Arabidopsis thaliana: one gene and its partners. The protein of the gene in region 4 interacts with the protein of the main gene of each other region in a pairwise test. Each region holds a gene or a part of one and is shown on either strand. Other genes may lie near its edges. The genes, in order: AT1G66760, AT5G48240, CYP94B3 and AT1G73920.

Region 1 (5,988 bases), 2.9 Mb from region 4:
TGCTTATAGTGTGGCCGAGAGGTATGCCATCATCGACTTCACTATTCTTCGCGGAAACAACTCTTTTGCGATAGATCTCAACTTCACCAATCGGATCTCTTTCATCGATTAGATTGATAAAGTTATTCCATGTCAAAGGAAAAAAACAAAGAGATAGTTGGATTATCAAGATGCATGAAGTATGTGGAGTGCTTTTTTAAACCAAGTGAACGTAAATATGAATTTGTATACATAATACATGTGATTAGAGTTAGTTTAACATAAGTAAAAAAGAAAGTTGAAACTATCAAAATGCTCTGTGTAAGTATTAATTATTTCTTCCAACACACGATGTCAGAAGTCAGAACCGATTATTAATACTTTTCTCAACAACTTCTGTTTCTTTATTTATTTTTGATAACTTCGACGAGGATAAGTAAGAAAATGGCTTCCTCTTTTTCAGTGTGTATAATGCAGTTCTTGACTGGACTACTCTCAATTGGATATCACGGATTGTGAATACATATTCTCGGTTATAACTTTTAACTTTATAAGTTATACTTTTATTTAGTTTCACAATAAGTGTGGTTTAATTCTTACAAGTTTGTATCAAAATAGGTATTGTTTTATATTTTGAATGTAGTTACAGTATTTGGTGAAATTGCAATTCTATTCTTACTATTTTAATGTATTGACCAATAAAAAAAAGTTGTATAATATATTAATAAGAGATAAACAAAAAAAATGTTTTTACTATATGTGAAGAACCTGTAAATGACATTGTGAATACATATATTCTCGGTTATAACTTTTAACTTTATAAGTTATACATTTCTTTCTTTTCACAATAAGTGTCGTTTTAGTGTTAAAATTTTATTTCAAAATAAGTATTGTTATTATTTTTAGTGTAGATATTTGGTAAATATTCAATTTTAATGTATTGACCAATTATAAAAAATTGTATAATATATTAATAAGCGATAGACAAAAAAATCTAATTGTTTTTTTACTATATGTGAAGAACCTGTAAATGACATTTATACTAAAACGTAAAAAGTATGTATGATATATTGAATCAAAAATAATACTAGTAATCAGTAGTTAAGTTACATCTATTTTGTTAACGAAATAGTAAAAAAAAATGTCATTAAGAGACGGATTTATTATTGATATCAAGTAGAGCAAAATTTGTTTGTTTAGAAACACAAACAAAATCTTAACTTTGGCGGTTTAGTCTGACTAATTTCAAATTTATGTTGTGGAGTATATAAAGTCGATAGTACTTTTTAACAATGATTTTGAAAACTAAAACTTTATGTTATTGGAGTATTATCATGGATTGGAGTTTTTGTCAATGAATTAACATGGAGATGTGGATTAGGTTAGGTTCATCGAGATATGTATTTAAAGTTGAAACATGTGTTTTATTATTATTCTTTTCATTTATTTATTTTTTTCTTTCTGTCGGTCAGTATTGAAACATGTGTTTAGTTTCATTTGTCCTCTCAGGCCTCAGCATGTCTAGTCTAGGAGTATTCTTTATGTTTCAAAATATAAGAGGTTTTAGTTAAATATGCAGATTAAGAAATATCCATTTTTAAAAAAATTCAACCATTCATAAAAATATCATATAATATAAATAATTATAAAATATTAAATTAATCTATAGTTATGTTACACAATTTACATAAATCACGCTGTCATGAGTAGTCTTTTTCATATATCATCTATTGACAAAATAACAATTTATCTTGTTGTTCTTTTGAAAACTAGCTATTACTACATATATTATACATTTTTTTTCTCATAAGTGGTTTAACGCTGACAAAAAAAATCTATTGTAAGATGGTAACCACTGAAAGCCATCTTAGGTTCAATACTTAAATAAATGATATGATATTAAAAATATTGATCATGGACCGATGTTTATCGATTTGAGCCAATGCAATCAATACGAAGAGAGACTTTTATTCCTTATTCTTTAGAAATGTATATCTCATTTTATGACTAATTAAATAATAACTGATGATCAGTATGTGGTTCTATACATTTAAAAATCTTCTAATTCAGTTTTTTTTTTTTTTTTGGTATCGATGTTAAGTATTTATACCGTTTTCAAGTTTGAGACAGAATACAGAGTAAACAATAGAAGCAAAAAAAAAAAAAAAAAAAAAAAAAGGGAGAAAGACTACGACTAAAGGAACTACGAATACAAGAGATAACACGATAAGAAACACAAAGCGAAGCAACTAGTAAAGGCTTGAAGAGGAAACACCGATTCTAATTCAGTTTTCATATCTGTTTGATACTCTTAAGGTATTATATTGTTCTGTGTTCCAGTTCTATCTCATGCTAATCAAAAATATTGTTAATACCACTCTTGCCTTTTTCAAGAACCGACATGATTTTTAAGTTTTAACCACAAATGTATTTGATTGGTAAAAGGTTCTAAAAAGTTTCAACAACTCACAAAGCCTTAAAACTGAACCATTCATGTTTTACTTTTCTTTTTAAGGCTATACAACCAAAACAAACTTTATGTTGTCTAATTAATTTCTCTGGCATAAAAAAAAAAAAAGACTCCACAACTAAAATCTTTTAAGTACAAACTACAAATAGGAACCAATTATTAGTTACTAGTTAGGATGCATCTTCTTCTTACACGTGCTGAATTCTATCTTTTGACTTAAATGAGTGAGATGATAAAAGTCGAAAACGATTTCGCTTTTATACGCGGAAGCGGAAACGTGTTTATTTTCTTTTCTTCGAGTCGCGACGTCGCATATATTATTTATCAAAATACAAATTTTATTATATCAAAATCATAAAGCTAAATAAATACGACACAACTTCCAACATTTTCTCTAACCAGAAAGAAAAAAAAAATGAAGAAGAGTATCGAAACTCCGTTATTGTTGAACACCAAACAATCACAAGACGAAGATAAAGAAAAAATAAGATGGGAGAAGATGAAGAAAGTTGCTTCAATGGCTGCTCCAATGGTCGCCGTGAACATGTCTCAATACCTTCTTCAAGCAACTTCTACAATGATCGTCGGTCACCGGAGCGAACTCGCTCTCGCCGGAATCGCTCTAGGAAGCTCCTTTGCTAATGTTACCGGCTTTGGTGTTCTTGTAAGCAAGTATATGAACCTTTATATATATATATGTATTGGATTAATTTGTTTCTAATTATTGTTGTATACTATATAGTTTGGACTTTCAGGTTCATTGGAAACACTATGTGGTCAAGCATATGGAGCAAAACAATATCACAAGCTTGGATCTTACACTTTCACTTCAATAGTTTTCCTTTTGATTATCTCTGTTCCGATTTCGATTCTTTGGATGTTCATGAACCAGATCTTGCTGTTGCTTCATCAAGATCCTCAAATAGCAGAGTTAGCTGGTGTGTACTGTCTCTGGCTGGTACCAGCTTTATTCGGTTACTCTGTTCTCGAGTCGTTGGTTCGATATTTTCAGTCACAAAGCTTGATTTATCCAATGGTCTTGAGCTCTCTAGCTGCTCTGTCTTTCCATGTTCCTCTCTGTTGGCTAATGGTTCATAAATTTGATTTTGGAGCCAAAGGAGCGGCTGCGTCTATCGGTATCTCTTACTGGCTCAACGCGGTTTTTCTTTGGGTTTATATGAAACGCTCTAGTCGTTGTGTCGAAACGCGGATTTATATGTCCAAGGATGTTTTTGTTCATACAAATATCTTCTTTCAATTTGCCATTCCTTCTGCAATGATGTGTTGGTAAGTATGTACAACTTTATTAAAAATCCATATAGAATTAACCAAGTGATGGTAGTCTAGTGGTGGTCATTGTTTTGTGGATAGGTGAAAGATTTAAAATCTTAGGTTACATAAATAAATGTGTAATGGATTTTTTTTCCCTTCACTAATATTCTATTGACACTTATTTTCTTATTGCTCTTGCTTCCTTCAATAGCCTTGAGTGGTTAGCTTTCGAGGTCATTACTTTGCTGTCTGGTCTTCTACCCAACTCAAAGCTCGAAACATCGGTTATTTCGATTTGGTAATGTATCGAACCGCAAAACTATATAATCTGTGATACTTATATTTTCTTTCATTTTCTAAGCCTTAATTTTTGGGATTGAGCAGCCTCACGACCTCTTCATTGCATTACAATCTAGTAAATGGAATTGGTGATGCAGCAAGGTTTGTTCTTACTTTAATACTCTTACATCGAATTTTCACTTCATTTTATTTTCGAAGAATTAATGTTTCATTTTTTTTTGTTTCGTTGGTTAGCACCAATGTGGCTAATGAGCTAGGAGCTGGGAATCCGCGAGGGGCTCGTGATTCTGCTGCGGCTGCAATCATAATTGCAGCTGTTGAGTCAGTTATTGTGAGCTCTAGTCTGTTCTTGTCTCGCAGTGTGTGGCCTTATGCATATAGCAATGTGGAGGAAGTAATTAGTTATGTGACTGATATCACTCCTATTCTTTGTATCTCAATCCTCATGGACAGCTTCTTGACCGTCCTCTCCGGTTAGCCTTTCTTAACACGCATCTCCGGTTTTGCAACCATGTTATTATTTTTTTGTGAACGTGAACCGAATATATGTTTTGTTTTGTTTAGGGATTGTGAGAGGAACAGGGTGGCAAAAAATTGGAGCTTATGTGAACATAACCTCTTATTATGTCATTGGTATTCCTGTTGGACTTCTATTGTGTTTTCATCTTCACTTCAATGGGAAAGGACTTTGGGCTGGTTTAGTCACAGGATCAACATTACAAACTCTAATCCTATTTCTTGTTATTGGATTTACCAATTGGAGCAAAGAGGTGATTGTAACCGCGTAACTCGCTTTTTTCTGTTTCTAATCCATCATTCGATTTTTCGAGAAATCGAGCTAATATTTGTTTACACATTTTTTCTTCAATGAAATTTTGCAGGCAATTAAGGCTAGGGAGAGAATTGGTGATGAGAAAGTTTGGAGACATGACTCATTGCTTAATTGAAGAAAAAAAGAAATACAAACTTTTGGGGGATTTTGATTGCTTCTTTTTTTGTGTGTGTTTGTGCAATAACCTTCAGTTGATTGTAATTTATATTGAAAGTACATTATAGTCTTTCATATGATATTAGAGTGTAAGAAAGTTTGAAAATATATCTCAGTTAAAAAATGATCTGGTATATAATAGATGAATTAAAGAGTGACCAAAGTTGATTGGTTCAAGCTTAAAACTTCTATACTATAAAGTCTATAATACAACTTTACGTGGCCAAAAAACAAATAATGAACCAAAGAGAGAGTATCTTGAAAGGATATACTCAAAGAATTAAAGAAGTCAAAAAGCAAATTTGAATACTTTCTCCGACAAGAGATGCTCATAAGAGTCAAGGTGAGTAGGTAATTGTTATGGCAGAAAACACGTGGAAGCAACGACACGTCATACATAATATTGAAGATTAACAAAAAGTTAAATTAAATCAACATCAATCCAAGAAACAAAAATGTATGGACTTGCAAAATCAGTTATACAATGAGGTGAATCCAGCCTCGCAGAAGTCCATGTTCAAGTCCAGTTTTGCACCAATATAGTATATTGGTTTCATGGACGTAAGAGTCTTGTCAAATGAATCCAGCCGCGCATCAGTCCATGTTCAAGTCCAGTTTTGCACCAGTAAATTGGTTTCACGAACGTGAGAGTCTTGTTAAATGAATCTAGCCTCGCTTCAGTCCATGTTCAAGTTCAGTTTTGCATCAAGATATTGATTTCATGAACGTAAGAGTCTTGTCATGGAACTCCTAACAATAAATAGATTGACCCATATCATTTTTATATTACGTTCTCGGTTACATCACACTTTTAATGTTGGATTCCTGATACGCCTGCTCAAGAGGAGGGGTTTTCAATTATATTTCAATTGAACCTCATTCTAAAACTAGCAATAAACCCAACTTGGTATTGAAACTTAAATTTTGGGATGTTACGTTGGACATTTTTCCGAAAACTAATTTTCGGCAAATTTGTCAC
Region 2 (5,252 bases), on a different chromosome or scaffold from region 4:
CAACCTTCTTCTTCTATCTGAGACTAGTATCACTAAAGTTAAGGATGATTTTTTTCTGTGATCCTTATGCTCTTTTGTGTGTTTTCTCAATTCAGGGCTCAATGCAGCAGCCAGCATTAAGCAATAATGCATCTGCAGATTCGTTCATGACTTGTAGAACCGAGCCAATAATTTGCTATTCATCAAAGCCAGCACATTCGAATATCTCCTTCTCTGGCATCACTGGAGAAAGTAATGCTGGAGATTTCCAAGATTGTGGGGCGTCATCGATGAAGCAGCTTTCAAGGGAGCCACAACCATGGTGCCATCCAACAGCACAGGACATTATTGCTTCCTCACATGCAACAACACGTAATAACGCTGTTATGCGTTACAAGGAAAAGAAGAAGGCTCGCAAGTAAGTATAAACGCACACAGAAAGGAATTTAATTCATCATTGAAAGTTGTTATAGCTAATATTTAACATATTTTGTATAAATAGGTTTGACAAGCGAGTAAGGTATGTCTCTAGGAAAGAAAGGGCTGATGTGAGACGGCGTGTGAAAGGACGGTTTGTCAAGTCCGGTGAAGCTTATGATTACGACCCGATGAGCCCAACAAGAAGCTACTGAGGATAAAACCTCAAAACAATGAAAGATCACAAAGTGGAGATATAAGACAGAGATGCAACTAATTGGCAGCGATGGATCTGGAAGCCATTATTGGTTGAAAAGGAACACGAGTTCTCCGCCTCAAAAGCGTCATACTTGCTTAGAAAGGCGCATGCTTCTGCAGTTCTGCCTCATTTTTTGCATAAAGTTTGTTATCTTCTTCTGTCATTTGGCATCATGACTTGACTGTGAAACTAGAAACTCTTCTACAGATTCAGGTTCATGATCCTTAAATTTTGTCCTATTATAATTTGTGTAGCCAAGGCAAAACAACGAATGTATATTTTTTTTACGTCATATAAATAATAACCATGTAGAAGTTTGGAGTATCATCACTTCTATATTTACGGTATTGGTTAATGATACTAACAAGTGTATTTTCTAAAAGCGTAACCACAAGAATCACAACCTTTCAGGATCCTTTTGCACTATCAAAAAACTGAATTCATTCATATTGATCAGACAAAATTTGCATGATACAAAGGCAAAATTAAAGTTTGCTCGTTTAACTACTAGTTTAAACTCTTCAGTCTTCATAACTTTCATCTCCTGACAAACCGGCAAAATCATCTCCCTCGCTTGTTTCCTGCGGACAATTCAATTTTAAGTTTCAGATCAAAGAGTATAAATCAGTATGCAAGCTATGTGATTCCAGATTTGTGGATAAGAATGAAGAGATACCTGTTTCTTGTCCCAGTCCTTCAGTTTTGGGTTTGCTAACATGTAATTATCTCGTAGAGGAGCCCAAACAGGAGCTTCGTCTTCAGATTTGTGAGCCTGCACCATCCAACAGAATATCACTAGTTAACTAACCAACAATACTTTAGACTTATAACTAACGGCTCTCGCTACTGAAGGTGATCCTTTCTCTATAGAAGCCAGCTCAAGACAGAATACTAACTTGCTTCTATGTTCATCCAAAGTTGAAGGCTTTAAGAACATTCAAAATTGTTACTAGTAATTTACTAAGAATACTTCTGATTTATAACTAACATCTATCACTCACTCATGAGGTGATTCTTTTCGTGACTCTCTATAGGAGCTAGATCAAGACAGAATACTAACTTGTTTCTACGTGCATCAAACGGCTAAGGAATAAACTCTCAAGATAAATCATAATGAAAGAGAGAGAGTAAGAGATATGGAGACTATGCCAAACCTTGGTGTCTGTTTTTGTTTTCCCTAACTCAGACAAGAATGCTTCTTTTCTTCGCTTCTTCAGCACTGATGGATGTTCCAATAGGATAAAAAACGAGAATTAGAAGATAAGAACAAGACAGTGGATTCATGCCAACGATCAATTTCTAAGCCTACCTTTAGCGTCTTTAGACCTTGAAGGATTCAAACCCTTCTGAGCATGTTGAGCCTTGTTGACCTATTTGAAAAACATAAACTAAGAATCATACGAATCACTACCGGAGAATAAAAACCTCAAAAATAGACATAGAAACAAACTTACAGCATTGAAAAGCTTGACCACTGTGATACCACAAGTTCATGGAGAGGAAAAAAAGAGTCAATACTAAAACAAAAAAAAAAAACCAAACAATCTCAAGAAACAGAGAGTTTAACCAAAGCAACAATACCTCCTTTAGTAGCAACACCAATAAGAATCTTTTCATGAGAATCCAAATAACTTCCAGGTTTAACATGTCCCTTCTCAGCAATCTTAAAAAAGCAATTGTTAAGATAAATCATCATCTAAAACACAAGAACACAAACGAATAGTGAACACAACAACCAAACTCATACCAAATGTTTAGCCTTTCTAGCTTGACCTTTAGCTTTCTTTTCAGCTTCATCTTCAGCTAGCTTCTCTCCAATAAGATGCTTATGTGCTGATAAAACTGGGCCCTATTACACACAACACCAACACAGTTCAACACTATATTCCCAAATCAAAACTCAAAACTAGAATCTGCTATAAAATCTCACCAATGTATCATCTCCTTTAGTCTTCTTCATAATAGCTTTAAAAGCGATTTTGAAAGCATTACATCCATCAGTAGCAAACTTAGTGATTCCAGATTCAATCTCTCCATGATCTTCACCATCTGAATTCTCATCATTATCTTCTTCTCCAATCTCTTCGTAATTTGGTCCCATGTTAGCATCAGAGAAGATCTTCTCACGAATTGTTACTTCTGGTTGTTTCTTCGATTCATCATCTTCTTCTTCATCGTCATCGGAATTGTAATCTCGTGCTCTCTTCTGAAATAGCTTTTGATTCTTCATTGTAACCTTAAACCTATCGGAAGTAGAAGGTTTTGATTTTTGCTTTTTGTTCCTCGCCGCTTTAGTACCTTTCTTAACGCCGACTCTTCTCTTTCTAGAGCCTCTATCTGCCATCGCCATGTGACCTTCTTCTCCGGTAGACATGGCTTCGTCGAGAACTTTGGGTTATCACGGCGGCGAGAGTTTGGGGGAGAAGAGACGAGAGATAGGGTTTTGTTATTGCTTTCTTTAAACCTTGCTATAAGGGAAAATGTTTTCGGATTCTGATTTCCGGTTAAGGTCAGGTTTGTAAGTTGGATTTGGGTTCGAATTTGAGATTTCGGTTTAGGTCGGGTTTTGTCGTTTTGATTTCTATTGATAAATAATGGTTTCCACATGGTTAGCGACTTAGCGTCGGATATAAGATTTGGCCGCGTAATCGGTTCTTGACCAAACTACGAGGCTTGAATGGTTCAAATGCAGACTGCTGAAATTTATGGAAACGGAGAGTTGCGGTTTTAAGAGTTATCATATATTTTAAATGATTGATTTAGCGGTTAAATTTTACGTTTGTTGAAGTTTTATAGTTGGTTAACTAGCATGTGCGATAACGGTAAATACAAAATACCAAAATAATATAATTTATAATTTTAGAAAACTGAAAAACACCAAATTTTTATATTATTATGATTTAATGTTAAAATTTTAAATATAACTAATGATAAAACCATTTTGAGGATCTCAAGCTTGATAAAAAAATTGTCATGAATGAATATGTGTCAATTGATGAAATTTATAATAAAATATTATATTTTTTTACAAAATATAACTAATAAAAAAAAGTATTACATAATTATTCAAAAACAAGTAAATTTCATATTGAAATGTTTATTCATCAATTTGATTCATCACCAAAAAATGTATCATGTAATATGATATACTTCAAACAAATATGTTTGAATAGTAGATATTTCAGATTAACAATATTAGTACAATATTTATATTTGTATCTCGCCTTTTAACAGTTTGATTGACGTCATGATTTTGATGGAAAAATAAGAATTTAGAGTTATGAGAATTAACGTTAACATATAGGGTACAATAAAAAGAATCAGTTTTTACAGTTTTGAGAATTCACGTTACAATTTTTAGAATTTTCAGCGACCTTTAGTTATTAAAAGTATGTTTACTTGCTTTCTTAAATACTTAGGTAAACGTAATGAAAAGAAAAATTATATTTATTCTTTACACAGAATCATATGTAATTTCAGTTCTGTTATGAAGCAAGTTTTTAACCTTTGTGTATGTTCTTCTACGCACATCATACTTGTTCTTGAATTGTTTATCCCATGAATATCTCTTCCCAAATTTTTCTTCAAACTATCTCATGATGGACTCTTTTCCAGTTATATTTAATCTCGTCTTTCTTCTATTCCCTTTTTCCTCAGCAGTACAAAGTTGAAGAAAATATCAACACTCTTCGTCCGACCAATTCTAAATTCAGGAAAAAACATCCAATTCTCAATCATACAATTCTATAACATTAGAAAAAAAAAAGAAACTTACATCATCGTTGTTCATCTTATCAAGTAAGTGACAATCTTAGAGGAAGTAGCAAGTAAGGAACTGTCAATTGCCACTGAAAAAACGAAGAAAGAATGTATGTCAACACAAACTTGTTCCTTTACACTAAGAAACTAACACAAATGTCAACACAAATCTAAATGAAAACAAGAGGATTTGATCTTATTTCTCGTTTGGGTGCAAATTGAAAGTTTAATAAGCGACACAAAAGCAATACAACATGCATCCCTTTGATAAGATTTTAGAAACAACACTTCAGTTCCAGCTCCCAAAATCTGAACAAAATGATTGTGATTTTATACAAAAGTGCTTCAAAGAATTCAAAGTTGTGAAAGGAATAGAACAAAAGAATCCTGATAAAAAGAATAAGTTTTTAATAACTATTTAATCTATTTCGAGATAGAAAATTTGTCTCATCCTGTTCGCTAAGTTTGCGTTTATTTGTTGAACTCAGGTCAAAATTGGGGTTTAAATCAAGTTTGGATAAGGAATTATCGAACAAAAAATAAAAGTGGAATAAAAATCTTTGTCAAACAAACTACAATTAGTAGAGCAACCCAATCATTGTTATAGAAATAGCTCATTAACCCATGTGTTTAGGTTTCCATCAAAACAGATTCATAATTTGTGTGATAAGAAGAAGAGAAGTATTTTTAGGAGTTGCCTCTCGTAGAAGTCTCTTTTTTTTTTTTTTTTGGTGAGATCAATCAAGGAACCACTTTAATCTTGATGACAATCCCAATATTTTATTCTTTTCTATTTCTTGCACAATAAAACTTAACTAACTATCTTATTTTCAATTTT
Region 3 (5,135 bases), on a different chromosome or scaffold from region 4:
CAAAGAGTAACAGAGTCTGTTACGATTATCATCTTCTTCATCTGTTTTCTTCTTTGAAGTTTTCTTGTATCGAGAGAGAGAGAACTTGAGAGAATCACCATTGTTGTAAGCTCGGTTTTAGTTGTACTCTTCATAAAGCTTAGTGGATTTGCCGAATTGATTCGGCTCCGGATGTAGGCTTGATCACACCGATCTTGCTGAACCGGGTAAACAAATCGTGTGTCTTTATTCTTCGTTTTCTGTTCTCTGATCTTGCATAAGTTGAGATCGATCATTCGCAACATCATTTCGATCGTTCTTAACGCTGAATTGAATCTAATCGGAGCTCAATTTCGTAAGAAGTTGTTATTGAACTTGAAACATTTCATTAAACTTGCAAAAGAAAAAGTGAGAAGACGTGAGAAGAGGTGAAGCAAAAGATCGTTTACCATAAGAAAGGAAAGAAGAAGAAGCTAATAGAGTTCATGTCGAGAGGAAGAAGATAACTCAACAACAACAACAACAAGAAACAAGTCATGGATTGAGGCTAAAAGGCTATGTGAAGTTTTTTTGCTTCTGCCTTTCTTTGCTTTTCATTTGGCTTACAATTGATATTGAACATGATGTAAGTATATGCTAAAACGAATTTTATTTTATCATGTTAGTTTTAGAACAAGGTAATTAGTTATTACACCGACTCTATTAGACTTTAATAAATTTCTCATGCATTCTAGATTGTGATTGATCACAAAAATTGTTTTCTACACTGCTTTGGCGTCTATTGATCAAATAAGTTATGAAATTTCTCATCCACTTACAATAAAATTTTCAAAAAAAAAAATAGAAACCTTTATTTGTCAAAATTATCATAGAAATCTGGTATAACTATTACATTACAACATCAACAACGAAATGTTGTATACATCTGGAAAAATATCTCTTGTATAACCCACGAGTTCTTTGGACGGTGAAGTCATGAAGACAAAAAACGGTTGTTCCTTTTCTTAAGTCATTTTTTTTGCGTGCTACCAATCAATTATGTTGGCTCATATAATTTATAGAACGGCGCCGTTATTTTTGTTCAATTCCGTAATTATTTTGTGTGCGAGCAAGAAAAGACGGTATCGACAACGTGAGTGGCTGAAATCAAGTTCATCTTTCTTTCGTCTCATATAAAACTGACTTTACTGGTTAAATTCAAGCCTAAAGAAACACGTGCACAATTGAATAGCTCTTGTTCGAGTGGGAACAGTTTTGTCAGGCTCTTGCTAGTATTTGTTTTCTTCTTTTCAATGTTTACTTTTCTACATTTCGCCTCCAGATTTATTTGACACCCGACCATTTTATCAAAAGTATAATCGCTTAATTATTTTTAAGACATTAGAATAGTGATTATTAACACATATTGTAAGCCGGAGCGAAATTCATGTTTTCAAGCTACCATTCAAATTTCAACTATACCATTAATACATGTATTATATTCTAGAAACCACGGTTCGATTCAAATTTTGACCTAACAAATATTAATATAATGTTTGGATGTTTCGTAATATTGTAACCATTAATGGAGATGTCGTATATCATTTGAGTTTTTTTGTTAACCATTCAAAGTACACTATAATTAATTTAGTTACTTTAATATAGGTCTATTTTCCTTGCGTCATAGTCTCTATCGTGGTTTTGTCGGAGATATGCCACGTTCTAAAACTTTGGACTTCTGCGTCGCCAAAGCGTTTGCAACACGTCAAATTAGGAAACACAAAAGCGGCTTAGATAGCAAACGAGCGATAAATAAAGGGTCAAGTAAGCCAAACAATATGTAATAAACGAATAAATTAATTAAAAGAAATGTTTGATGTCCTATTAATTTTATAAATTCTTTTTTTTTGTTTTTTTTTTAATTTTATAAATTCCTTATACACAAATGTGGTTTTTTCAGGAAAGTTGTTCAATGTGCTTATTACAATATTAATCATTTGATGATACATACTCACAGTTACACTAACAGTTCAATATCCTGATGGAGCTTATCACTAAAAGAGAAAATCTATACTACAGTATTAGGAACTCGAAACAATATCGTCATCCTAAAAGAGACAAAATAGCCTGACTAAACATTTATATTTTCGTTAGGACAATTCTCAAAAAAAGATACTATATATTAGACTAAAAAAAGGAATGAAACAGTGACATACAGCTACACTAAAGACAAAAAAGGAGATAAAATAATATCTCCGTAGACACATAATAGTATAATACCGTGTTACGTCGATCAAAATGTGATATAAGAAATCAAATTAATACTAAAAGCGATATGTTTCGGGACAGATTGGTCCGGACCCGCCACCTTTCCCTTTCTATATACACACACGCAATACCCACCAAGAACACACACAAACACTTAATTAGCAATATAAAAAGCACATTCACAAACTCTTTCCAACACACCAACACAAAAAAAAAACCAAGAACAAAAAACAATTAAACAATATGGCATTTCTTCTGAGTTTTTTGATACTAGCGTTTCTTATAACCATCATCTTCTTTTTATCTTCATCTTCAACTAAAAAAGTCCAAGAAAACACCACATATGGACCACCATCGTATCCACTCATTGGCTCCATACTCTCTTTCAACAAAAACCGTCATCGTCTTCTTCAATGGTACACCGAGCTTCTCCGTCTCTCTCCGTCTCAAACCATCTTAGTTCCTCTCCTCGGCAACCGTCGCACCATCATCACAACAAACCCATTAAACGTCGAGTACATTCTCAAAACAAACTTCTTTAACTTCCCTAAAGGTAAACCTTTTACTGATCTTCTTGGTGATCTTCTCGGTGGAGGCATATTCAATGTCGACGGTCACTCATGGAGCTCGCAGCGCAAACTCGCTAGCCACGAGTTCTCCACTCGCTCGCTTAGGAGTTTTGCTTTTGAGGTTCTTAAAGACGAAGTGGAGAACCGTCTAGTCCCGGTTTTATCCACGGCGGCTGATGTTGGTACGACCGTGGATTTGCAAGATGTTTTGAAACGTTTTGCTTTTGATGTTGTTTGTAAAGTCTCGTTGGGTTGGGATCCGGATTGTTTGGATCTAACCCGACCCGTTAATCCACTTGTGGAGGCTTTTGACACCGCTGCTGAGATTAGTGCTCGCCGTGCCACGGAGCCTATTTACGCTGTTTGGAAAACGAAGCGTGTGTTGAACGTGGGAAGCGAGAGGAAGCTTAGGGAAGCGATCAGGACCGTGCACGTGTTGGTCTCTGAGATTGTCAGAGCTAAGAAGAAGAGTCTTGAGATCGGAACCGGAGCAGAAGCAAAGCAAGATCTTTTGTCGAGGTTTCTAGCCGCCGGCCACAACGGCGAAGCAGTGAGGGACATGGTTATTAGTTTTATCATGGCGGGAAGAGATACAACGTCAGCAGCGATGACGTGGCTGTTTTGGTTGTTGACTGAGAACGATGACGTGGAGCGGAAGATTTTAGAAGAAGTGGACCCGTTGGTGAGTTTAGGGTTAGGGTTTGAGGATTTGAAAGAGATGGCTTACACGAAGGCTTGTCTATGTGAAGCCATGAGGCTATATCCTCCAGTTTCGTGGGACTCTAAACATGCTGCAAACGACGACGTTTTGCCTGATGGGACACGTGTCAAGAGAGGAGACAAAGTGACCTATTTCCCATACGGTATGGGGAGGATGGAGACGCTATGGGGTACGGATTCAGAAGAGTTTAACCCGAACCGGTGGTTTGATTCTGAACCGGGGAGTACACGACCGGTTTTGAAACCTATTAGTCCCTACAAATTTCCGGTTTTTCAAGCCGGGCCGAGGGTTTGTGTAGGGAAAGAGATGGCATTTATGCAGATGAAATACGTCGTTGGTTCTGTTTTGAGTCGGTTTGAGATTGTGCCGGTTAACAAAGACCGGCCGGTTTTTGTTCCTCTTTTAACGGCTCATATGGCTGGTGGGCTTAAGGTGAAGATCAAGAGAAGAAGTCACATCCTTAACAACGTTTAATAGAATATGTAAAAACGAGTTATTTATATATAGAATATCAGTGTGGCAATACTCCTGCCTGCGAAATCAATCTGTATAAATTTGTAAAACATACCAAAACCGAATATAATCAGGTAAGTTTTGGTTCAATTCCTTGAAACATAATTTTTTGCATCGAGTTAGAAATAGAGCTTGTAGTCTTGCCGCTGACCCAAACGAAACCAAATTGGATTGAGCAAACCGAAAATAACCAAATAAGCCCAAAAATCAATAATCTAGTTAGGAACTGGCCATGTAGATGTTGAAGCTAAATGAAATGTGAACAGTGAGAACCAAACCAATGAGAATGTCTATAATGTCAATTCTTTTGCATTGTTGTAGACATGTAGCTTATTCTTAGTTGTAAACATTTGTTAATAAAGTAAACAAAGCGAATGTATTGCAGCATCCGACCTTAGCTCAGTTGGTAGAGCGGAAGACTGTAGTCTGTGACAGCAAATCTTTAGGTCGCTGGTTCGATTCCGGCAGGTCGGATTTTTTGTTTTTTGTGGGATTAACAATATTTAGCCCAACATATAAAGCCCAAGACTATACAGAGACCACAATACAATTCTAATTATAACCCAAATAAACCCTTCAAGGTAGTATAAATAATTATACGCATCTTACTTCAAAAATCTCATCACTCTCTCATTCTCCACAATTTTATTAGTTCACAGAGTTAATCTCACTCTGTAGAATCAACCTAACTTACAAAGGCACACACCGATCGCTTAGATGTCAAGTTGTCAACAATTTTCAGCGAGCAATGATCTATCTTTATATTTTTAAAAGAGAAGAACATTTGAACATTGTCCAAAATCAGTCATTTATTTATTTTAATTGTCATTAGTTATGGGTAAAAATTGTTTAATTATAATTAGAATATATTAGTTTATAGTTAAAATAGTTAATATCAAAATCATTTGTTTAAGGAAATACTAAATTTTTATTTCTCCATTGGTTTTAAAAAAATATATATATATATATTTTTTATTAATTAGAAAAAATATTTTCTTTAATTAATTAGAAACATTTCAAAGATTTTATTAAAATGTTTCGTCTCATCTTTGTATGATCATATTTCGAAAACAGTAGAAAATACATAATTCAAATAACAAATAAAA
Region 4 (7,447 bases):
GTGGATTCCTTCAATGCCATTGAGAAACACATTAGTGAGGAAGTCAAGGTAAGTTTACCTTCCTTTAGACTCTTAATTTCATGTTCATGTTACTTCTGTGCTAGATTCTTTTCTTTGGACACTCCCATGTAAACATTACTTACATGCCTGAGAGATGTAAAGATAGATTTTATTTTGTTAGCGATGTACATATCTGCATAGTTAGGTAGAATACGTAATGATAAACATAAACTAGTTCTCTCTTCAGCAGATTTGGAACCATTATGACATATCGAAAACATATATTTTGCAGTCGCTGGAATCAGGAGGAGGTGCAGATTCAGAAGGAACGTTTCAGAAACTGAAGAAGGATCTACAAGCGGTGTTCAGTGTGCTTCCAAAGGACATGCAGCAACTTCTGCTTTTAAATCCACAAAGAGCATCTCTTCTTCAAGATCCATCAGAGCTCCAATGAATGCTCTTCTTCACTACGGCGTCCATGAGGATTCTGATTTCTTTTCTTCCCTTTTCTGTTTCATTCTTTGAACTGTACCAAAGAAAAAAGAGAAAAATTCTTCATCTTCCCTAATTGTTTACTCGTTTTTTCTTTTGAAACATGAGAATCACACAACACCGAAATCACTGATCACTGCTGTATTTTTAACTCTATAACCAGATAAATTTATCCTTCTTGGATCCATTAAACATGTAACTGTAACTATGATTTATATTATTACGACAAATGAATAAACTGTATGACCTACAGAAGTTCTATGTCAAAGTATGCAAAGATTCGCCAACTATATGATTAATTGGTCTCTTCAGATCTTCCAATGGAAAGGAGGAATTTTCTGGATTCATAGCATCTTTCATGACATCATATCATTTTCATGGAAACCAAACCACTAGAAACATTATTATATACCATACGGCTGAAAAAAGCATCTCTCACAACAAGATCATTTCATCAAGGGATCAATCTTTACGGTATATGTACACTATTATAGCCAAGCCATAGGATACTGGCATAGAACACACACATGAAGCTTACACACAACATCACAATACAAAGACACCAAACTCTACGAGGCATTGAACATTGGCCATAGATCGGTTTCAGCTACTACACTACTGTACCCTCCTTTTTCTTCTTCTTCAACTTCATACCTTTCTGACTGGTCTGCCTCTGTTGAACTGGTGTCTGTTTCACAAGCAGAAGCCGCGACATCACATATCTCAAAAGCTCTTCACGGTGAGAGAATGTGAAATCAAGGTGAGCATACTCAAACTCATTAAACGATACATCGACCTCGGCATCTCTCATCACATTGTAGTGTTTCTTCACCATAGAGGAACGGATCACCTTGTCGTTCCTTCCCGCTACTAAATCCACAGGCACATCGATGAACTTGTAAGACTCCCCTAGATCAAGCGGTTCAGGAGAGCCATAAACCTCCATGTTAGCTGATCTGCTTCCATAATCATACATCCTGAATTTACCGGTGTGTTTGATCTGAGCAAGATGTTGCGCCACACGGAAGGAGACAGCTGGCATGTCGTTCATGTTGTAGTGAGGCAATCCTAAGACTCCGACCCAATTCGAGCTGTCTCCACCAACTACATAACTCATTAGAGTTTGGACCAATCCACCAAGAGCAGGATAGTTGTGAAAGTCACGGGCTAACTTGTTCAGAAGCATTCTGAAGAATCTTGTCGGTATGTAGAAGGCAGGCACGATGCGAGCCAAAACTGGACTAATGAAAAGGAATATGTACTCAACTATTGTGAAACCTAAGTTCGAGTCCTCATGAAACCCAGCAGGTGAAAGTAGGATTAGTCGTGAGAGTCTGTGTGGCTTCTCCTTGATTTTTCGAGTAATAACATACATCAGAATTGCAGCACCGCCTAGACTGTGACAGATGGCACAGAGCTTATAAGGCTCCTCCTGGTTGATTTCTTCATCGATATTGGGCTGGCAGAGCTTGAGTTCTGTAGTTTTTATTTCATGAATTTTTTCTATCATCGCTGGGATATCTTCAGTACCGTGCTCGTTAATGGAGTATCGCCAGAACCTGCATTTTGGTCAATAACAATGAACATTTGTACAACTTGCAAATATATACATATGATGAAACTCCACTATCATAAAGAAACCAGACAGTGCATGTAGATTAAGTAAGAAGTGAACTTTAAAGCAATAACTCACTCTTTTGAGGATATGTTCTTGTTCACATGATCTCTTGAAACTAAACCCCGAAAGTTACCCAGAAAAACATCATAGCCTGTAAAGGAAAAGAGTGTAAGAAGCTGATAAATCGTTGCCGTATGTGAATTAATAAAAGATTGGAAAATGAAAAACTTGAGGCTTGAACCTTGGTCATACGCAGCAAAAGCCGGAGATCCAACAACCCCATTAGATACCCATCTGAAGAAAAACACGCAGTAGAGAAAAAGAGTAATCAATAATGTTTCATAGGACATATATTAGATCAAAACATCAGAGGATTATAGGATGTTCCAAGTCAAAACTAAATCTTTAAGAAGGATCGGAGAGAAGGAAAGGGAAAAAAGAAGATGAGATAACTAAAGTAACTGAAAGCAGTATCCCTCCTAATCGCACCAAAAGATTTTCCCAAATCCATTTTTGTGTCTTGAGCAAATCAAACACACACGCAAAGTTGAAGGGAACAAATTATGAAAATAATTTTTTTTTGGGTAAAGAGTCAGGAACATTGAAACGCCTAGGAATGTTATGCTACATGGATATAGAAAATAATACTTCCTCAACTTTTCAGCTTACTAAGTTTCCAAAGTTTACGAGTCATCTAAGAACTAGACCATGAAACTTACCCCATTGAAGAATCCAAAACCCCATGCTGCAAAAAAACAGCTTTCCTTGCATCACGTCTGCAAAGACAAGAGTAGTCAACGATCACATTAAGAGACAATGTAACAGGAATGGAAAGCATGCACAAGCGAGCTTAATATCTAACAAGAAAGTTATACCTTGGTATCCTTTCCAAGACAAGAACATATCCGTCAGATGTAATAACACGAATAGCTTCGTAAGGATACCTACCAAGAGTAGGAGAGAAATCAAGTAAATATCAACTACTTGAGAAAGAGAAAAAAAAAATGGAAGCATGAGACATCGAATCTGCCCCTTTACCCCAACTCTGTTATGACATCTTGACACGTTCGAGTATCAGTGTTCATAGAGTTGTATAAACGTGTGGGACTTTCAACGGGCCTTTCCGTGGGGGATGGATCTGTATCTCCTAAAGTAGCAGTCTGCACAGTTTCATCATAAGCAACCTCACCATGGTTTTCTTTAGGGCTGCGACTGGAAGATGAGAACCATGATAACAATATTGCAAAAGCTTCTGATGGAGAAAGAAGAAGATGCGTAGCCTTGTGAAAAAAATCAAATATTGCTTCTATGCCGATCTCGATAGCAAGATGAAGATCCTGAAAAATAAAGCACATTAAGTAGGACGAGTTTGTCAAAAGGTTTAAAATCACAAAAATGATTGTAACATTGAATATTTGTTCGTGCATCCACAAACCTCAATAACCCCACGTCTTCTATCAGTAGTTCGGTTGGGAACATCATGGTCTTTGCTTGAGTTGGTCTTGCTAATACGAGGTCTAGATGAATGTTGGTGCCTTCTCGGGCTCGCAGGAATTCTTGAACTTCGTTTATAGAATAAACTTATAATATATTGTGGTATCCATAGCAAGATCCGTACAGGAAACATTAACCACCAAAGAATGAACGTAATCCACTCTGTCCAGTGGTTTTCAGAACTTGCAGAAGTGCTAGCCCAAGAGAGGCGTGAGCTTTGAGATGATGGTGATGGAGGCAAAGGACCATCACTATCTTCTCCAGAAGAATACTCCAAGCTTGAAGTATCAGAATCAACAGAAAGCTCATGAATGAACTCATTGAAAGAAGAGACCCCACTGCCATCAAAAACAGAGTAAAATTAGCATATTTTGAAGGCTTGCAAATAAACTAACAACAGAAGAATCATGAGAAATTATTACTTATGCATCCACCGTGGTAAACGTGGTCCACGAAACGTAGGCCTGAGTTCCCAGCCATGTAAGCCTTCAAGAATATTAGCCTTCCCTGGGAGAAGGGTCAACAGAAGAGCTGATACTCCATTTATGCACCTCGCAATGTTATTCAAAGACTCATATGTAACAGTTTTTACTGATCTGCACTAAAAGCCAAAACATAATCAAAAAGCTTATTTAGTTTAAGCTTGTTAGACAACATAAGGGAAAAGAAGAACATCTAACAAAAAGACGAACCAAAAAAAAAGAAATAGTCATTTCACCGACTCAAAGTTCATAGCCAACATCAACTCTAAAAGACGAAGCTTTGAATGAAGATACTAGAATAAAATGGTCTAACAAAACTCAAAAACACAATCTACCAATACTAATTAACAAAGAGACTTACTATAATCACCAAACGATCAAAAACTTAAAAATCTCTACTTGTCATTTATGAAACATTAGAACAACTATAGGCGCATACACAGATGAATCCACTGATGATCGATAAGAAAAAAGACTCACTCTTTGGTTACAGCGAGAGCGTTGTCCACGATCCGTTGCATTGCTTTTTTCTCAAAAATCAGATTTTTTTGTTTTTTTGGAAATATCAGAAAATTTGAAACCAAAAAACAATCTGATTCGTCGCCGTAATCCGAAAATTATCGAGGAAAACGACAAAGAGAAAATTTCTTATCCACCTGAGAAAACACAAAATTTAGCCAGAATAGAAATCTCTCGATGCTAGGAGATATTGGACCAAATCGCGATCGAGATTTAATCCGAACTCAAAATAAGGAAAACACAGAGACCCACAGGAGCCGCGATTCGAGAATCAAAAATCTAAAAAGAAAAAACAAAATTGGAGAGAATCTGACGAAAATAAAATAAAAATGGGAGAATCCGATTAAATAGGGGCACGTCGGCGATTCTTGCCGTCCAGAGACCAGAAAATGGTGACACGTGGACATGTGTTATTGGATAATGACGAATGTGACAAAAACTACGACACGTAAATTCGACTTTTGGATAACGGAGAAGGTGGATTTACCAAACAGGCAAACACACAAGTACATTTGTGGTTGTTTTCACTTAGAAAAATAGTACATTTGTTGTATGTTAACGTTGAAACATTATATTATACGAAGCTATTTCTAAAGCTTCATAATAATAATAAAAAAGTGTTTAATATTTGCCTAAATAAATGAAAAGATACTAATTACTTAATCCCTAAACCCTCTGACTGTCTCCAAAGGTTCTCGTTATCTTGATCTCAAGCAGCTTTTAAGGGCATTTCCTCTGGATGTAAGAAGCTCCATGCTCTGCATACCTGTCATGTACACAAAAAGACTCAAACCCTAGCGATGAGAAGACACTGTTTATACGTGAGTCGAGATCTAGAGAGCAATCCAATGTGTTACTTACTCAGACTTGGAGAACCACATTTGCTGGAATGAGCCTAACGATGCCAGTATACTACCTTACTTCTACCAAGTCTTTCTCGAGGCGTTCTTTCAATTACTGCATTGATGATGTTCCACCAGAATAATCTGTTCCTAATCCAAGATGAACTCAGCATCGATAAAAGGTAGAGAAACCAGACTTTTCTCTCTGCTGCTGTGAGTTCAGAGGAGGCTCTGCAAGTAGCATTGGGTGCTCCGTGGGATCAATCATTAGACAATTCCTTGAATAATAAACATTTACACAGATGAAATCATCAATCAACTATAAATGGAAAAGATAAAGATTAAACAGTTAAAGACAAAAACTAACAGATTCTGCAAATTACCTAAAAGCATGATCCCATACATTGTCCACCATATCCCAATCAGTTACAATGCCATCCTTTGTAGGTGACAATATCTGGAACAGACAAATGTCAACTAATAGAGAGACCTGAAAATTTATCTTCATCCCTAACCATTTTGAAGTTTAATAAAGAAAACTGACCTCCATTTGATCGCGGCGAAAGTTCAAAGCTTGAGATCCTGTGTAAAGCTTCCTTTTGCCTTTTTCTTTATCAGACTCCTTTGCATCCTCCGTGGTGTTTGCAGCATCATCAATATCCATTCCATTTCCATCTATCGCTCCAACAACCTTATAAGTTATATAACACATCAACAACAGCAACAACAAAAAACCTAAATTTCTCGAATTGCTTGCTCTACACTAAAAGGACCTAACTTTAACCAATTGAAAAGAGAGGAAGTAAAGAATGAGACTTACGGAAGGGAAAACAGCTTTAGGGGCATCTTCTCCGGCGTAACCAGCTTTGCAAGTGTGAGAACCTAAGTCTACTACGATAGCTGACACTTCGTCTGTTCAATATATAAGAAACCCCACCAAGGAAAAGTTTACACCTTTACGAGACGAGCTCAAGCGAAAAGGGAAAGAAGTAATGCTGAATTTGTACAATCAGAGAGAGATTTTAGAGAGGACGAAAATAAAACCTACCTCCACCGTACATGGCTGCCGAGAATGGGAGAGGTGAAGAGAGGTTTTCTCTACCGGAGCTTCGTCGGAAGGTTTAAGAACGGAACCGGAAAGTAAACTATTTAAGTGATTTCACTTTGTCTCGGATTGGGAAGTTGAATATAAAGAAGAGAAGGACTAAAACAAACAAACCTGAAATATGAGGGACTAAAACTAAAGAAACTGAAAACAAAGGGACTAAAATAAAAACAAATATGAAAAAATTAAAAATACGCCGTTGCCGGGGATCGAACCCGGGTCACCCGCGTGACAGGCGGGAATACTTACCACTATACTACAACGACTTTGTTGCTCAAGTTTTCTAAATTTGGTATTTCAATTGGTTAACTATTTCAAATTCTAAAAATTTGTTAACGAGATTCCGGTAACATTCTTGTTTTCTTGTGGTCAACAAGAAGCACAATTTACGAATGAACTCAAAAACACCAAATAAGAAACGAGCATGAAGAACTCAAGTGTTGCAACAAATAAACACACATCATGTGTGCAATAACAATTCATGTCCATAGTCACACACACCAAACCAATTGATTCCAACCTTAAATACTCAGAATCCCCTTACTCTCCCACAAACAAAGAAGAAAGAAACTTAGTCTCCTAGGAAAAAAATGGCTTCTTCTACTCTTCTCATCACTCTTTTAATCTCCTTATCAGCATTCTTTCTCCGAATGGTTCTCGCTCAAGTACCAGCTACATGTGCCTCCAGACTGCTTTCCTTAGCTCCATGTGGTCCATTCGTTCAAGGCTTTGCCCAACTTCCGGCTCAGCCATGTTGTGACAGCTTAAACCAGATCTATAGCCAAGAAGCAACCTGTCTCTGTCTCTTCCTCAACAACACCTCTACTTTGTCCCCTGCTTTTCCAATTAATCAAACTCTTGCTCTACAATTGCCTCCGCTTTGCAACATTCCAGC

Evidence for each region.
Region 1: the proteins of AT1G73920 (region 4) and AT1G66760 interact in a two-hybrid assay, tested with the Arabidopsis thaliana proteins (one large-scale study listed by BioGRID).
Region 2: the proteins of AT1G73920 (region 4) and AT5G48240 interact in a two-hybrid assay, tested with the Arabidopsis thaliana proteins (one large-scale study listed by BioGRID).
Region 3: the proteins of AT1G73920 (region 4) and CYP94B3 interact in a two-hybrid assay, tested with the Arabidopsis thaliana proteins (one large-scale study listed by BioGRID).

Annotation. Positions count from the first base shown.
Region 1 is NC_003070.9:24,899,246-24,905,233, forward strand, and holds AT1G66760 (MATE efflux family protein), read left to right. Parts: upstream 1-2,636; 5' UTR 2,637-2,864; coding exon 2,865-3,113; exon of another isoform or gene 3,114-3,191; coding exon 3,192-3,736; intron 3,737-3,932; coding exon 3,933-4,019; intron 4,020-4,105; coding exon 4,106-4,162; intron 4,163-4,255; coding exon 4,256-4,494; coding exon of another isoform or gene 4,495-4,499; exon of another isoform or gene 4,500-4,585; coding exon 4,586-4,791; coding exon of another isoform or gene 4,792-4,809; exon of another isoform or gene 4,810-4,902; coding exon 4,903-4,968; 3' UTR 4,969-5,198; downstream 5,199-5,988.
Region 2 is NC_003076.8:19,557,078-19,562,329, reverse strand, and holds AT5G48240 (Rrp15p protein), read right to left. Parts: upstream 3,088-5,252; 5' UTR 3,030-3,087; coding exon 2,586-3,029; intron 2,505-2,585; coding exon 2,403-2,504; intron 2,319-2,402; coding exon 2,237-2,318; intron 2,130-2,236; coding exon 2,110-2,129; intron 2,026-2,109; coding exon 1,965-2,025; intron 1,875-1,964; coding exon 1,810-1,874; coding exon of another isoform or gene 1,739-1,809; coding exon 1,653-1,738; exon of another isoform or gene 1,558-1,652; coding exon 1,503-1,557; exon of another isoform or gene 1,428-1,502; coding exon 1,332-1,427; intron 1,237-1,331; coding exon 1,177-1,236; 3' UTR 1,055-1,176; downstream 1-1,054. Other genes in the region: BBX8 (B-box type zinc finger protein with CCT domain-containing protein), read left to right, coding at 96-397, 482-611.
Region 3 is NC_003074.8:17,973,959-17,979,093, reverse strand, and holds CYP94B3 (cytochrome P450, family 94, subfamily B, polypeptide 3), read left to right. Parts: upstream 1-2,319; 5' UTR 2,320-2,469; coding exon 2,470-3,990; 3' UTR 3,991-4,241; downstream 4,242-5,135. UniProt on the Arabidopsis thaliana protein: Hydroxylase involved in the oxidation of the plant hormone jasmonoyl-L-isoleucine (JA-Ile), a bioactive phytohormone of the jasmonate-mediated signaling pathway. Converts JA-Ile to 12-hydroxy-JA-Ile.
Region 4 is NC_003070.9:27,788,354-27,795,800, reverse strand, and holds AT1G73920 (alpha/beta-Hydrolases superfamily protein), read right to left. Parts: upstream 5,065-7,447; 5' UTR 4,608-5,064; coding exon 4,567-4,607; intron 4,206-4,566; exon of another isoform or gene 4,201-4,205; coding exon 4,027-4,200; intron 3,943-4,026; coding exon 3,546-3,942; intron 3,448-3,545; coding exon 3,149-3,447; intron 3,055-3,148; coding exon 2,986-3,054; intron 2,887-2,985; coding exon 2,830-2,886; intron 2,405-2,829; coding exon 2,352-2,404; intron 2,262-2,351; coding exon 2,186-2,261; intron 2,052-2,185; coding exon 1,103-2,051; 3' UTR 873-1,102; downstream 1-872. Other genes in the region: AT1G73930 (polarity axis stabilization protein), read left to right, coding at 1-48, 293-454; ARP4A (actin-related proteins 4A), read right to left, coding at 5,501-5,678, 5,831-5,904, 5,992-6,138, 6,268-6,359, 6,496-6,508; AT1G73890 (Bifunctional inhibitor/lipid-transfer protein/seed storage 2S albumin superfamily protein), read left to right, coding at 7,143-7,447.